2 linked regions of the Saccharomyces cerevisiae S288C genome follow. The protein of the gene in region 2 purifies or fractionates together with the protein of the main gene of each other region. This does not show direct contact. Each region holds a gene or a part of one and is shown on either strand. Other genes may lie near its edges.

What was found.
Region 1: the proteins of PRP3 (region 2) and BRR2 purify together in Saccharomyces cerevisiae (affinity purification with mass spectrometry; 8 studies listed by BioGRID, with this or other methods). This does not show direct contact.

What each region holds. Positions count from the first base shown.
Region 1 is NC_001137.3:529,884-537,837, reverse strand, and holds the start of BRR2 (ATP-dependent RNA helicase BRR2), read left to right. Parts: upstream 1-1,816; coding exon 1,817-7,954. Other genes in the region: RAD24 (Rad24p), read right to left, coding at 1-1,538.
Region 2 is NC_001136.10:1,403,945-1,409,975, reverse strand, and holds PRP3 (U4/U6-U5 snRNP complex subunit PRP3), read left to right. Parts: upstream 1-4,121; coding exon 4,122-5,531; downstream 5,532-6,031. Other genes in the region: JIP4 (Jip4p), read left to right, coding at 1-2,512; TRAPP subunit TRS31, read right to left, coding at 5,803-6,031.

The DNA of each region.
Region 1 (7,954 bases), on a different chromosome or scaffold from region 2:
GAGCCACTCGGAAGATTCTTCAAATAATAGAGAATGTATTTTTTTTTATAACTCTGACACTTTCTAATTAGAGGTGCGTAGTAGCCAAATTCTAGAGTTATATTCCTGAAAGAATGTACCGCGTTGTACTTATAAAGACTAACATTTAACCAATCTTCAGCTTGAACTTTAAATGAATTTTGTAATTTTCTTACTTTCCATTCTCTTGGAAAATAAACCGTTCCATGATTATGGCCTTGTTTACTGATGTTACGAAAGGTTTTGCGCACTTCTCGTAAACCATACTCATTGGATTCTGGTAGACCATTCATATTATCACACTCGCTCAGGCAATCCACAATTGATGATGCATCAGAAATGCTGAATTCGCCTTTATTAAATGTGTTATAGTTCTCTAATATTCCTAATTTGAAATCCTCTTTCGATAACAAATTGTTCGAATTTTCGAAGAGGTTATTAATCATTTCGTTATCGTTATTCGTGCTATGGGAACCATGTATCACCTTCCCAATGGCATGAAAGTATGATATGGTGGATTCTCGGGTTGAAATCGGCAAACTTCCACTTGATGTCGCCCAAAATTGAAGGGTCGTAATGGCCGACCTAATATCACCAGTCTCTTGCGCAATATAATCTATGACTTCCTGTCTTTTATTCCATTTATTTTTCTCCTTCAACATTTTCATATTCTGTACACAAATAAATTTCAAGTGCTTTTTTAATAAAGTGCTGTTAATTGGATTAAACTTAATTCTTTTCAACCTTGGATGCATCAATATTTCTTTGTTCATTATGGTTTCTGCACTAAATGTATAATCAATACCAAATTTGCGATAATTATTATCGTTCTCTGGAATTTCACATTCAGTTATACATATAACAAGGGGAGGTAATAGAGGCTCCGAACTATATAGCCACTGTAATATAAGTTGTTGAAATCGACGTCTGGTATCTATATGGAAGACGTTGGGAAGGTCCTCGATAAGTATTAATGACAGGTTGGACATCACAAGATACCGTGCGCCTTTTAAGAACTCACTAAAGCTTTCCATCTGAGGAAGATCGTTGACTATACAATCACCTCTAAACTCGGTCACTTTATGCTCGTTCGGGGTGCTTCGAAAGGACGTTCCGTTGCTGTTTTGTCTGTATTTAGGAACTAAGATTTTTGAGAGTTCTTTTATGACCGTACTTTTAGAGCATCCACTGGGGCCAGACAGTAGTAGGATCCTATGCTTGGCGTTAGGTAAAAACATGGCATCTAAAGCTTCTTGTACATCTTTAAGTTTTCTTTTATGTATGGCCACTTGCTCCAAACAATTGGGCTTGAACTTTTCGTACCACTGTTCACCGCCGTCGTCGTTGATACTTGGGAGGATACTAGACGTATCTTGCTTGGAAAGAAAGTCATTTTCAGTGCTTCTCGCCTTACGAACTGGCGAAGTCGGTCTAGATGAGCTCCATTTTGTTATTTGCGAGCCCAATGAACTGAGACTATATTGTAATAAGGGCCGTTTGTTCAAATTCGTACTATCCATATCATTCAGACAGGAACAAACTTGATAATTAGTGGTGTTGAATCAAGTACTATTAACGCATTGTGATGATCTCTCAGATATCAATGCGTGTTTGCTTCTTTGACGATCTAATATTGAATATTGTCGCTCTTTACGAGAATATTAAAAATTTATGCTACTAAAGCTATGTCTACTATAAAGGAATAATACACTAATAGAGATAATCTTGAGTAAAATAAGGTGAAGGTAAATATAAGTAATTGCTTTGGAAGATTTACCGTGAGCCTTCGTTATTAAAAATGACTGAGCATGAAACGAAGGATAAGGCCAAAAAAATTAGAGAAATTTATCGTTATGATGAGATGTCCAATAAGGTGTTGAAAGTTGATAAACGCTTTATGAATACCAGCCAAAATCCTCAAAGGGATGCGGAAATATCACAACCAAAATCCATGAGTGGTAGAATTAGTGCTAAGGATATGGGACAGGGCCTGTGCAATAACATTAATAAAGGACTAAAAGAAAATGATGTAGCCGTTGAAAAAACTGGAAAGAGCGCATCATTGAAAAAAATTCAGCAGCATAACACCATTTTGAATTCTTCCTCCGATTTCAGGTTACATTATTATCCAAAGGATCCCTCAAATGTCGAAACTTACGAGCAGATTTTGCAGTGGGTTACAGAAGTTTTAGGCAATGATATACCCCATGATCTTATTATTGGAACTGCTGATATATTCATCAGACAATTGAAAGAAAATGAGGAAAATGAGGATGGTAATATTGAAGAGCGAAAGGAAAAGATCCAGCATGAGCTAGGCATCAATATAGACTCCCTGAAGTTTAACGAATTAGTTAAACTTATGAAAAACATTACCGATTATGAAACACATCCTGACAATAGCAATAAACAAGCAGTAGCAATTCTTGCCGATGATGAAAAATCAGATGAAGAAGAAGTAACAGAAATGTCCAACAATGCTAATGTTCTTGGGGGAGAAATCAATGATAATGAAGATGATGATGAGGAATATGATTACAATGACGTTGAAGTCAATTCTAAAAAAAAAAACAAGAGGGCATTGCCAAACATTGAAAACGATATAATTAAACTCTCCGATAGTAAAACAAGTAATATCGAGAGCGTTCCGATATACTCAATCGATGAATTTTTTTTGCAGAGAAAACTTCGGTCAGAGCTTGGTTACAAGGATACCTCTGTAATACAAGACCTGTCAGAAAAAATTTTGAATGATATTGAAACACTTGAGCATAATCCAGTAGCGTTGGAGCAGAAGTTGGTTGATCTGCTTAAATTCGAGAATATATCACTGGCTGAATTTATTCTCAAGAATAGATCTACAATTTTTTGGGGCATACGACTGGCGAAGAGCACAGAGAATGAAATACCGAACTTAATAGAGAAAATGGTTGCAAAAGGTTTGAATGATCTTGTGGAACAGTATAAATTTAGAGAAACTACACACTCAAAGCGTGAACTCGATTCCGGTGACGACCAGCCACAGTCTTCGGAAGCAAAAAGAACAAAATTCAGTAATCCAGCAATACCGCCCGTCATAGATTTGGAAAAGATTAAATTCGACGAAAGTTCTAAATTAATGACCGTGACAAAAGTATCCCTACCGGAAGGATCATTCAAAAGGGTGAAACCACAATATGACGAAATACATATTCCAGCTCCTAGCAAACCTGTTATTGATTATGAGTTGAAAGAAATTACTTCTCTACCAGATTGGTGTCAGGAGGCGTTTCCTTCATCGGAAACAACGTCCTTAAACCCTATACAATCAAAGGTTTTTCACGCAGCATTTGAAGGTGATTCAAACATGCTAATATGTGCACCCACTGGTTCAGGTAAGACGAATATCGCGTTATTGACGGTATTGAAAGCCTTATCCCATCATTATAACCCGAAAACTAAGAAATTAAACCTTTCTGCATTTAAAATTGTTTATATAGCACCCTTGAAAGCCTTAGTACAGGAACAAGTCCGAGAATTTCAAAGGAGGTTGGCTTTTCTAGGTATAAAAGTCGCTGAATTGACTGGTGATTCTAGGCTTAGTAGAAAGCAAATTGACGAGACGCAGGTTTTGGTGTCTACGCCAGAGAAATGGGACATAACTACTAGAAATTCAAATAATTTGGCCATCGTAGAACTTGTTCGTTTGTTGATTATAGATGAAATACATTTGTTACATGATGACAGGGGACCAGTATTGGAAAGCATCGTGGCTAGGACATTTTGGGCTTCCAAATATGGCCAGGAATACCCCAGAATAATAGGCCTTTCTGCCACCTTACCAAATTATGAGGATGTCGGTAGGTTTTTAAGAGTTCCGAAGGAAGGATTGTTTTATTTTGACTCCTCATTTAGACCGTGTCCTCTATCTCAACAGTTTTGTGGCATTAAGGAACGGAACTCCTTGAAAAAGCTGAAGGCTATGAATGATGCTTGTTATGAAAAGGTATTGGAATCCATCAATGAAGGTAATCAAATAATCGTGTTTGTTCATTCTCGAAAAGAAACATCACGAACAGCAACATGGTTGAAAAATAAATTTGCTGAAGAGAACATTACTCATAAATTAACCAAAAATGATGCAGGATCGAAGCAGATTTTAAAGACAGAAGCAGCCAACGTACTCGATCCAAGTCTACGAAAGTTGATTGAAAGCGGTATAGGGACGCATCACGCAGGGCTGACCAGAAGTGACAGATCCTTATCTGAAGATTTATTTGCAGACGGGTTGTTGCAAGTATTGGTATGCACTGCGACGTTAGCATGGGGTGTTAATCTACCTGCTCATACAGTGATTATAAAAGGAACAGATGTCTATTCACCTGAAAAGGGGTCCTGGGAACAACTTTCTCCACAAGATGTACTTCAAATGTTAGGTAGAGCAGGCAGACCGAGATATGACACATTTGGCGAGGGTATTATAATAACAGACCAATCGAATGTTCAATATTATCTCTCGGTTTTAAATCAACAATTACCAATAGAATCGCAATTTGTTTCAAAATTAGTTGACAACTTAAATGCAGAAGTTGTCGCGGGTAACATTAAGTGCAGGAATGATGCTGTGAATTGGTTGGCGTATACTTACCTATATGTCAGAATGTTAGCTTCCCCTATGCTTTACAAAGTACCTGATATTTCAAGTGATGGGCAATTGAAAAAGTTTAGAGAAAGCTTAGTCCATTCGGCCCTATGCATTTTAAAAGAACAAGAGTTGGTGTTATATGATGCTGAAAATGATGTAATTGAGGCGACCGATCTAGGAAATATAGCGTCGTCATTTTACATAAATCATGCTTCCATGGATGTTTACAATAGAGAGTTAGATGAACATACAACTCAGATTGATCTTTTTAGAATATTCTCAATGTCGGAAGAGTTTAAGTACGTATCGGTGAGATATGAAGAGAAAAGAGAACTAAAACAACTTCTAGAGAAAGCACCCATTCCTATCAGAGAAGATATTGATGATCCTTTAGCAAAAGTGAATGTACTACTGCAGTCTTATTTTTCCCAGCTAAAGTTCGAAGGTTTTGCACTTAATTCTGATATAGTGTTTATTCACCAAAATGCTGGTAGGTTATTGCGTGCTATGTTTGAAATATGCTTGAAGAGAGGATGGGGACATCCCACACGGATGTTGTTAAATCTTTGCAAATCTGCCACAACTAAAATGTGGCCAACAAACTGTCCTTTAAGACAGTTTAAAACATGCCCTGTCGAAGTGATTAAAAGGCTGGAAGCCTCTACAGTACCGTGGGGAGATTATCTACAGCTAGAAACACCTGCCGAAGTTGGTCGTGCAATCAGATCTGAAAAATATGGAAAACAGGTTTACGATTTATTGAAAAGATTTCCCAAAATGTCCGTAACATGCAACGCTCAGCCAATTACCCGTAGCGTTATGAGGTTCAACATTGAAATAATAGCCGACTGGATATGGGATATGAATGTACACGGTTCCCTTGAACCTTTTTTGCTCATGCTAGAAGACACTGATGGTGATTCAATACTTTATTATGACGTACTATTCATCACTCCAGATATAGTTGGTCATGAATTTACCTTATCCTTTACTTATGAGTTAAAGCAGCACAATCAAAATAACTTACCACCTAATTTCTTCCTTACTTTGATATCAGAAAATTGGTGGCACAGTGAATTCGAGATTCCAGTTTCCTTCAATGGATTTAAACTTCCGAAAAAATTTCCTCCTCCTACTCCCCTTCTGGAGAATATTAGTATTTCAACATCAGAGCTTGGCAATGATGATTTTTCCGAAGTATTTGAATTTAAAACTTTCAACAAGATTCAGAGCCAGGTCTTCGAGTCTCTCTACAATTCGAATGACTCGGTCTTTGTAGGTTCAGGAAAGGGCACAGGTAAAACAGCTATGGCTGAATTAGCACTGTTAAATCATTGGAGACAGAATAAAGGAAGAGCGGTTTATATCAATCCGTCTGGGGAAAAAATTGATTTTTTGCTATCTGATTGGAATAAAAGGTTCTCTCATCTTGCTGGTGGTAAGATAATAAATAAGCTAGGAAATGATCCTTCACTAAATTTAAAATTATTAGCAAAAAGCCATGTTCTCTTGGCTACCCCCGTGCAATTTGAGCTTTTGTCACGTCGTTGGAGACAAAGGAAGAACATCCAAAGTTTAGAATTAATGATATATGATGACGCTCATGAGATTAGCCAAGGTGTTTACGGTGCTGTGTATGAAACGCTAATTTCTAGAATGATATTTATAGCAACCCAACTTGAAAAGAAAATTCGATTTGTTTGCCTTTCGAACTGTTTGGCAAATGCTCGTGATTTTGGTGAATGGGCTGGTATGACGAAGTCAAACATCTACAACTTTTCTCCAAGCGAAAGAATTGAGCCTCTTGAAATTAATATTCAGTCATTTAAAGATGTTGAGCACATATCATTCAATTTTTCGATGCTTCAAATGGCATTTGAAGCATCTGCTGCTGCAGCGGGAAATCGTAATTCCAGTTCGGTGTTCTTACCATCTAGAAAGGATTGTATGGAAGTTGCGTCTGCATTTATGAAGTTTTCAAAAGCAATTGAATGGGATATGTTGAACGTTGAAGAAGAGCAAATTGTACCATACATTGAAAAGTTAACAGATGGTCATCTAAGAGCACCTTTAAAACACGGTGTTGGTATTTTGTATAAGGGGATGGCATCAAATGATGAAAGAATTGTGAAAAGGTTATACGAATATGGTGCGGTATCGGTTTTACTCATTTCTAAGGATTGTTCTGCATTCGCTTGTAAAACTGATGAAGTGATTATTTTAGGAACCAACCTTTATGATGGTGCAGAGCATAAATATATGCCATATACCATAAATGAACTTCTAGAAATGGTGGGACTAGCTAGTGGTAACGATTCAATGGCAGGCAAGGTTTTAATTTTGACAAGTCACAACATGAAGGCCTACTACAAAAAATTCTTAATTGAGCCTTTGCCTACTGAGAGTTACCTACAGTATATTATTCATGATACTCTGAACAACGAGATAGCAAATTCTATTATACAAAGCAAACAAGATTGTGTTGACTGGTTTACATATTCGTATTTCTATCGTCGTATCCATGTGAATCCAAGCTATTATGGCGTAAGGGATACGTCTCCACATGGAATTTCAGTTTTTTTGAGTAATTTAGTTGAAACTTGTTTGAATGACTTAGTTGAATCATCCTTCATTGAAATTGACGATACAGAAGCTGAAGTAACCGCAGAAGTTAATGGAGGAGATGATGAAGCAACTGAAATCATTTCTACCTTGAGCAACGGGCTAATTGCTTCTCACTATGGCGTATCATTTTTTACTATTCAGTCATTCGTTTCTTCTTTATCGAATACGTCAACGCTCAAAAACATGCTGTATGTTCTTTCAACAGCAGTAGAATTCGAAAGTGTTCCACTCAGAAAAGGAGACAGAGCATTACTTGTCAAATTAAGTAAAAGACTACCATTGAGATTCCCTGAACACACCTCTTCTGGTTCGGTGAGCTTTAAAGTTTTCTTATTGTTACAAGCATATTTTTCACGTCTTGAATTACCTGTCGACTTTCAAAATGATTTAAAAGACATTCTAGAAAAGGTTGTTCCACTAATTAACGTAGTGGTTGATATCCTTTCAGCAAACGGGTATTTGAATGCTACTACCGCCATGGATTTGGCGCAGATGTTGATTCAGGGTGTATGGGACGTTGATAATCCGTTGAGACAGATTCCACACTTCAACAACAAAATTTTGGAAAAATGTAAAGAAATTAACGTCGAGACGGTCTATGATATAATGGCCCTTGAGGATGAAGAGAGGGATGAAATTTTAACGCTTACTGATTCACAGCTTGCGCAGGTCGCCGCGTTTGTTAAC
Region 2 (6,031 bases):
GTCCAACAATGATGACAGGCGCAGTCTAGCCTCGATATTGGACTCGAGCAGTTCCGTCAAAAAGAAGGGGAAAGGCAGCAACGAAAAGTACCTACCATGCGTATCTTTCAACACAGTTCCCAGATCAAGGGTATCTTCGCCCTTAGATGAAGAGAAAAGAGAATTTCCTGGCGTGCAGATCTCTGCAGATTATACAATGGAGGAATATTATGACGACGAAAGTGGCTTTACCTCGGACAACAATGCCGACTACTTCTCCGGGAATAGCTATTCGAGTAGGCGAGAGGGCAGTGCTAGTCCCGGCAGGTATTCTTCTCCACCTCCTGCCTCTAAAAGAAACATCAAAATAGGTAAGATGTTTAAGATTTCTGAAAATGGTAAAATTGTAAGGGAAGACTATCCTACTACACCCACCGATATCAATGACGCTCTTGTGATTAGTAGGGCGTATGCCAATTGGAGACAACTATGGATCAAGAAGAAAAATCAGATAGATCATCGATTAGAACAAAAGCGCGATTTCTTCAATTACCCAACAATACTGTTTCCTCCAAACAAAAAAAAGTCGTCTGAGGGCGCTACTCCCACAATAAAATTCAATCCTCCCATAGAAGACGGCTTTACGCCTTTGACTAAGTCTCAAAAGCGGAAAGAGCGTGTTTTGAGCGAAAAGGTTGGGTTCCCGAACACTCCTCGAACGATATTGTGCCACATCAGCGGCAGGAAACATACTTGGGTAGCACTAGATTGGGCGCTACGAACTTTGATTCAAAATACAGACCACATTGTTGTGTTGGCAAACCTGCCCCGCCTGACTAAGAATAATTTCGAAGACAATGATTCGATGAGTGAGCGAAAAAGAATGCTAATGATGATGGATGATAGCAGGAGTGTTAGCTCAGCAAGAAGATCACGATCCAGATCGAGATCACGATCCATATGTACAAGAAGGGCACTTTCTCTGGGGCCTGAGGAATCTGACAACAAATTAAAGCACCAAAATTTTATCGAGTGGACATCTGGTTATACGCAGAACGAAATAGAACGTAAATTGCAAGATCTTTTTGATTATGTTACACTCATAATTCCGCAAGATCGTTCTGTCAAGGTCACTGTCGAGATCCTAATTGGCAAGACTAAAAAAACGCTTCTTGAGGCAATAAACATCTATTTACCTGATTTCTTTGTATCTAGCACTTTGAGGTGGGAGAGAACAGACAGCTTAGTTCGTTGGAAATCGAACTTTCTGACAGATAAACTGTGTACTAATTTTCCGATTCCAACGTTTATTGTACCGGCAAAGAGAATGTTCGATTTGGAAATAGATTTGCAAAAAGAGTTTAAAGAACCGGAGGTAACGAAACAAAAAAATACTAGCGGTCCAAAGCCTGGGTTCAGCCATTCTAAATCAGCAGATGCTAGCATTCCAACTATCTCAAATATCAAACGGAAGCAAGATAACGATTATTCTATAGATTCACTATGTTATGCCCCAGAAGCTAATGGTGCTAACAATAGTAGCCGAGAGGAAGCATCTGATGATGAGCTTAACGCTTTTAAGGATGATGAGAATGATGTGATGTCCGTGAAATCCTTAACCTCTAACATTTCGGTAAAGGAAAAGTTATGTACCATGGCAAGGAAACGTAGAAAGAGTATGGCTCAGCAGTTAAATGACGCCGATCATGATTCATCAATACCACCGGGACAGAGGCATTTGAAAAAACTGAATATTATTTTGGAATCTTCATTAAAGTTTTCATTAGAAATCGATAGCATCACTGATAGTATTGAAAATGGGGATGTAGACGAAAAGAGAGCACACTCTATGGAGTCGGGCTTTGAAGAACTGAAAAGAGTCATCACAGGTGGTGCTCCTCCAAGGCATGTGGCTACCCCGCAGAGGTCCATGCTTGATGTTTTGGACAATCCAAGTTCATCTAGATCCAAATCCAAGTCAAGATCAAGCTCTAAGTCAAGGATAAGAGACAAATCAAAACCAAGCTCTCCTACTGCTACCGATATAAACTCAAGTGCGAGTGCGTCGAGATCACGTTCTCCGCAAATCAAGTTCGCGTCGAGTGTCAAGAATGTAGATGGTAATGCTGCACTGGGTGCTATTAAATCTAGGCACTCGCTAGACAGCCCAGGGGACCAGCAACAACAACATCATCATCACCATCATCGTGACACAGATCAGTTGTCCGTTCCAGGCCTTCCCCATTTGGCACCTTCAAAGTCATATAGTGTGAGTTCTGGTAATAAGGATTCATCTTTGAGGAAAGTCAGTAGCTCATCTTCGCTCAGAAAAGTAAAATCTAATGATTCGAACTCTGGTAAACGTATTAAAAAACCGGTCGTAACTTCAGCACACTTGAAACCAAGCTCAGGCGGTGGTGGTTTATTCTCTTTTTTTAAGAGTAAATCGAGATCCCCGTCATCTTTCAGAAAGGAAGATGAGAGTAAAAATACGCCTAAGCGTGGCGGATTGTTTGGGTTCGGAAGGCTGTAGTTGGTCTTACGTTCTTATGTGTTTATTCGATATAATTCTATAACATTTTTATGACTTTGTGCCTTTATGCATAACATGTATTGTACATATTAATCGACAAAAATGACATTCAATACCCTACACTAGTAATTAATAATGCTGCAATTCCATCATCGCATTCTCACCTAAAAGAAATGTGGACAGTGTTCATTATAAGCTGGGTTCCTATTCGTATTTCCGGCAATAATGCGTGCTAAGTGAGTTTGTAAAATCGTTAAAATGAGAATCAATGTACAAGGTTAGTATCACGTCAATTCTTTCAAAGCTTTATATTATTAGGTATACCTCCTTTGAAAGTAGCACCAGTCAAGATAATGGATCTTTATCCATAGTTATTGCAATTACTTTCAAAGCAATGCGGTTGTTATTGTTGCAAAAATATTGCAATATTAACTTCTTAGGAATGGTGAATTGAATTGTGTCGTAACATACGCTGTAACCCTTGTCTTTTGGGTTTAGAATGCGGAAATGAAAAACGTATAGAACATGATGAATCTACGAAGTGCAAGGTCCACGAAACAAGACAGTATCGTTGCAATTCAGTGAAATCCTTAAAATGGTTCAAATATAGATACTGGCTATCTTTTTCATTATATTGGCTTCTTTGACCTGTCACAATTATAGGGTTCAACAGTTATCTTTGGAGGAAGAAGCTGCTCATTGATGAGAAACAGGATTTATGGAAGAGAAGTCACATTCGTGAAAGGCACATTCATCAAGAAATTTTATTTTTTCTTTTGTGCTTCCCAAATTTACTGCCATACTACTCCATTTTTTGACAGCTTATTCATTTAAGAATACGACCTAACAATAGTATTCCGGAACTTTTTAACAATATCAATGACGACTAAGAGAAAATGACAACTGCAGGGAACAGATTTTAGATTTGAAAAAGCCATGACATGATACTACTATGTTCTAGATGTGTTTTATCTCCTTTTCGGTAGCATTTTTTTGGTAATTATCTAGTACGAGAGGTGACAAAATCTGTTGTTCTCCTTTAGGTTGTCGTAGTCAACTTTTTTTGTAGGAAAATTCTTGCAAGTACCCTGAAGTTATGTATGATGCAAGTCTATTGATTGTAATCAATAAGTTTTTCTAGCTCTGGCTTGCTATGTAACGTAGTGAACAATCAATGTTATCGAAAAAGTTTAGGTAAAATTCTCGAAAATGAATGCTGATAATTACTTTTTCTTCACTCCCCAATTTTGGATAATACTTGGCAGCTATATTCGCGAAACAGGAAGGTTAAAAACTGCTTCTCCAATGAAACAGTAGTTAACATATCCATTTAGCTAGAGATACTGCTTTTGGCCTCTGGACAGGCACTGTGAATTGTTCTTATATGTTCTAAAGTAAAGAGCCATGACTCAAAGAAAGTTTCTTGACTATGTTAATTTTTTTAGCATACAAATTTTAATATTATTCACATCTGCGTTTTTCTGACTGGATCCCGCACTGATCAATAACAAGAAATAGTCCTAGTAAAGTATTAGAATGCCAGATGACGTAAAACAATCAAAAAGACTCACAGAAAACATCAGGCGATCTATTGAATTGGCTTGAAAAAATGCCCCCAAGAAATACCTATGAAAAAGGTAATCCGAAACGCCAAAATAGTCCATATTATAAGCCAAGTTTCTTACGGCGTGAAGAAACTACCAATGATGAGGAGAAGTTTCAGGGCCATGGTCTGAAAACCGAACTTCACTCAGCGTTAAAGTCTTCAAATTTGAATCTTATCCGAAGAACTTATCAAACTGGTGAAAATCCCTATCTTAGTGATCCACACGATCGAGGCTCATCGAGCAGATTTAACAGGCGTTATGAACGGGGTCTGAAGTTTTACCAAAAGGGAGAAATCAGTAAAAGAATTGCCCAAGAAAGAACATTACAAAAACAGCAGGAGGAGGAAGAATTAAAAAGAAAGTTAAAACAAGAAGAAGACGAGAAAGATAAAAGAAAATTAATTGAGTCAGGTGATTTACCCAATTTAGAGTTACATGAGGATAAGTTCCTATTAGATTTGTCAAAGTTCAAGATATACTATGATAATAATCATGGCTATGAATGGTGGGACACGGCTTATTTAGATGAAAAGGGTGAGTTGATGGAAAAATATGACATGAATGGCACATCGCCTGCCGAAGAAAAGCTAGCAGAAGATATTGATGAAGTAGACGATGATGATGATGATGAGCACCCATCTATAAGATATGTAGCACATCCCTTACCTGAAAAGATCAACGAGGCAAAAGTATCAATCAAAGCATATCTAACGCAACATGAAAGGAAAAGATTAAGGAGAAATAGAAGGAAAATGGCAAGAGAAGCACGGGAGATAAAAATTAAGTTAGGACTATTACCTAAGCCTGAACCGAAAGTTAAACTAAGCAACATGATGAGTGTTTTCGAGAATGATCAAAACATAACGGACCCAACTGCCTGGGAAAAAGTAGTGAAAGACCAAGTGGACCTCAGGAAGAGAAAACATCTGGAAGAAAACGAAAGAAGACATGAAGATGCTATTAAAAGAAGGAAAGAAGCAGTCAATATGAACGTTGAAAAGCCGACAGTATACCATTGTAAGGTGTTCCAGTTCAAAAACTTACAGAACCCAAAAATAAGATTCAAGTTGAAAATGAATAGTAAAGAACTATCACTAAAGGGTTTATGCCTCCGTATACGTGATGACGGACCAGGAATAATTATAGTCGTGGGTAACGAAAAATCATGCAAATTTTATGAGAATTTGGTGATGAAGAGGATAAAATGGAATGAAGATTTTGAGTTGCACACAAACACTGGGGATATAAAAATGGACATGCATAATAATTCAATATCAAAAACTTGGGAAGGCTATTTACAAGATTGTAAATTCAAAGGCTGGTTTATGAAAGTATGCAATGATCAGGATTCTTTATTACGTACGCTGGGTCAGTTTGATTCAGAGCATTTTTATTCACCTGTTCAAACGTGATATCGGTGTCTACAAAATGATACGCTTTGTTTCATATTAAATATTATTTTACTGTATGTCGCCCAGAATAATGATTTTTTTAGCACAAAAACATTCCAAAATATAAAAAGAAAATGATTTTATATGATAGATGTACTTCAAGGAAATCGACAATTAAAAGAATCATTCTTCGTAATGAATATATGAGCATATGTCTATAAATCAACAGTAAATATACAAACTCTTTATCCTTTTCTTGGTTTTAGGTATTTACCGATGTTTTGAGATGATATCAGCCAAATCTCAAACCTTCCCTGTCAAGCACTTGCCTGTCAAATTGGATCAAATAAACGGTTCGTTGACTATGTCCGCCTTGGGGCATTCGATGTGCTGTCACGCCACATGGAAATCCAGCATTGAAAAGGAATCCTTTGATAATGCCGCAAACGAAGTACTCACAAGAAACGTTCTCACCTGGGATAAATTGGGTTAAAGTGGGGAAGTTATCTACTATCATATAT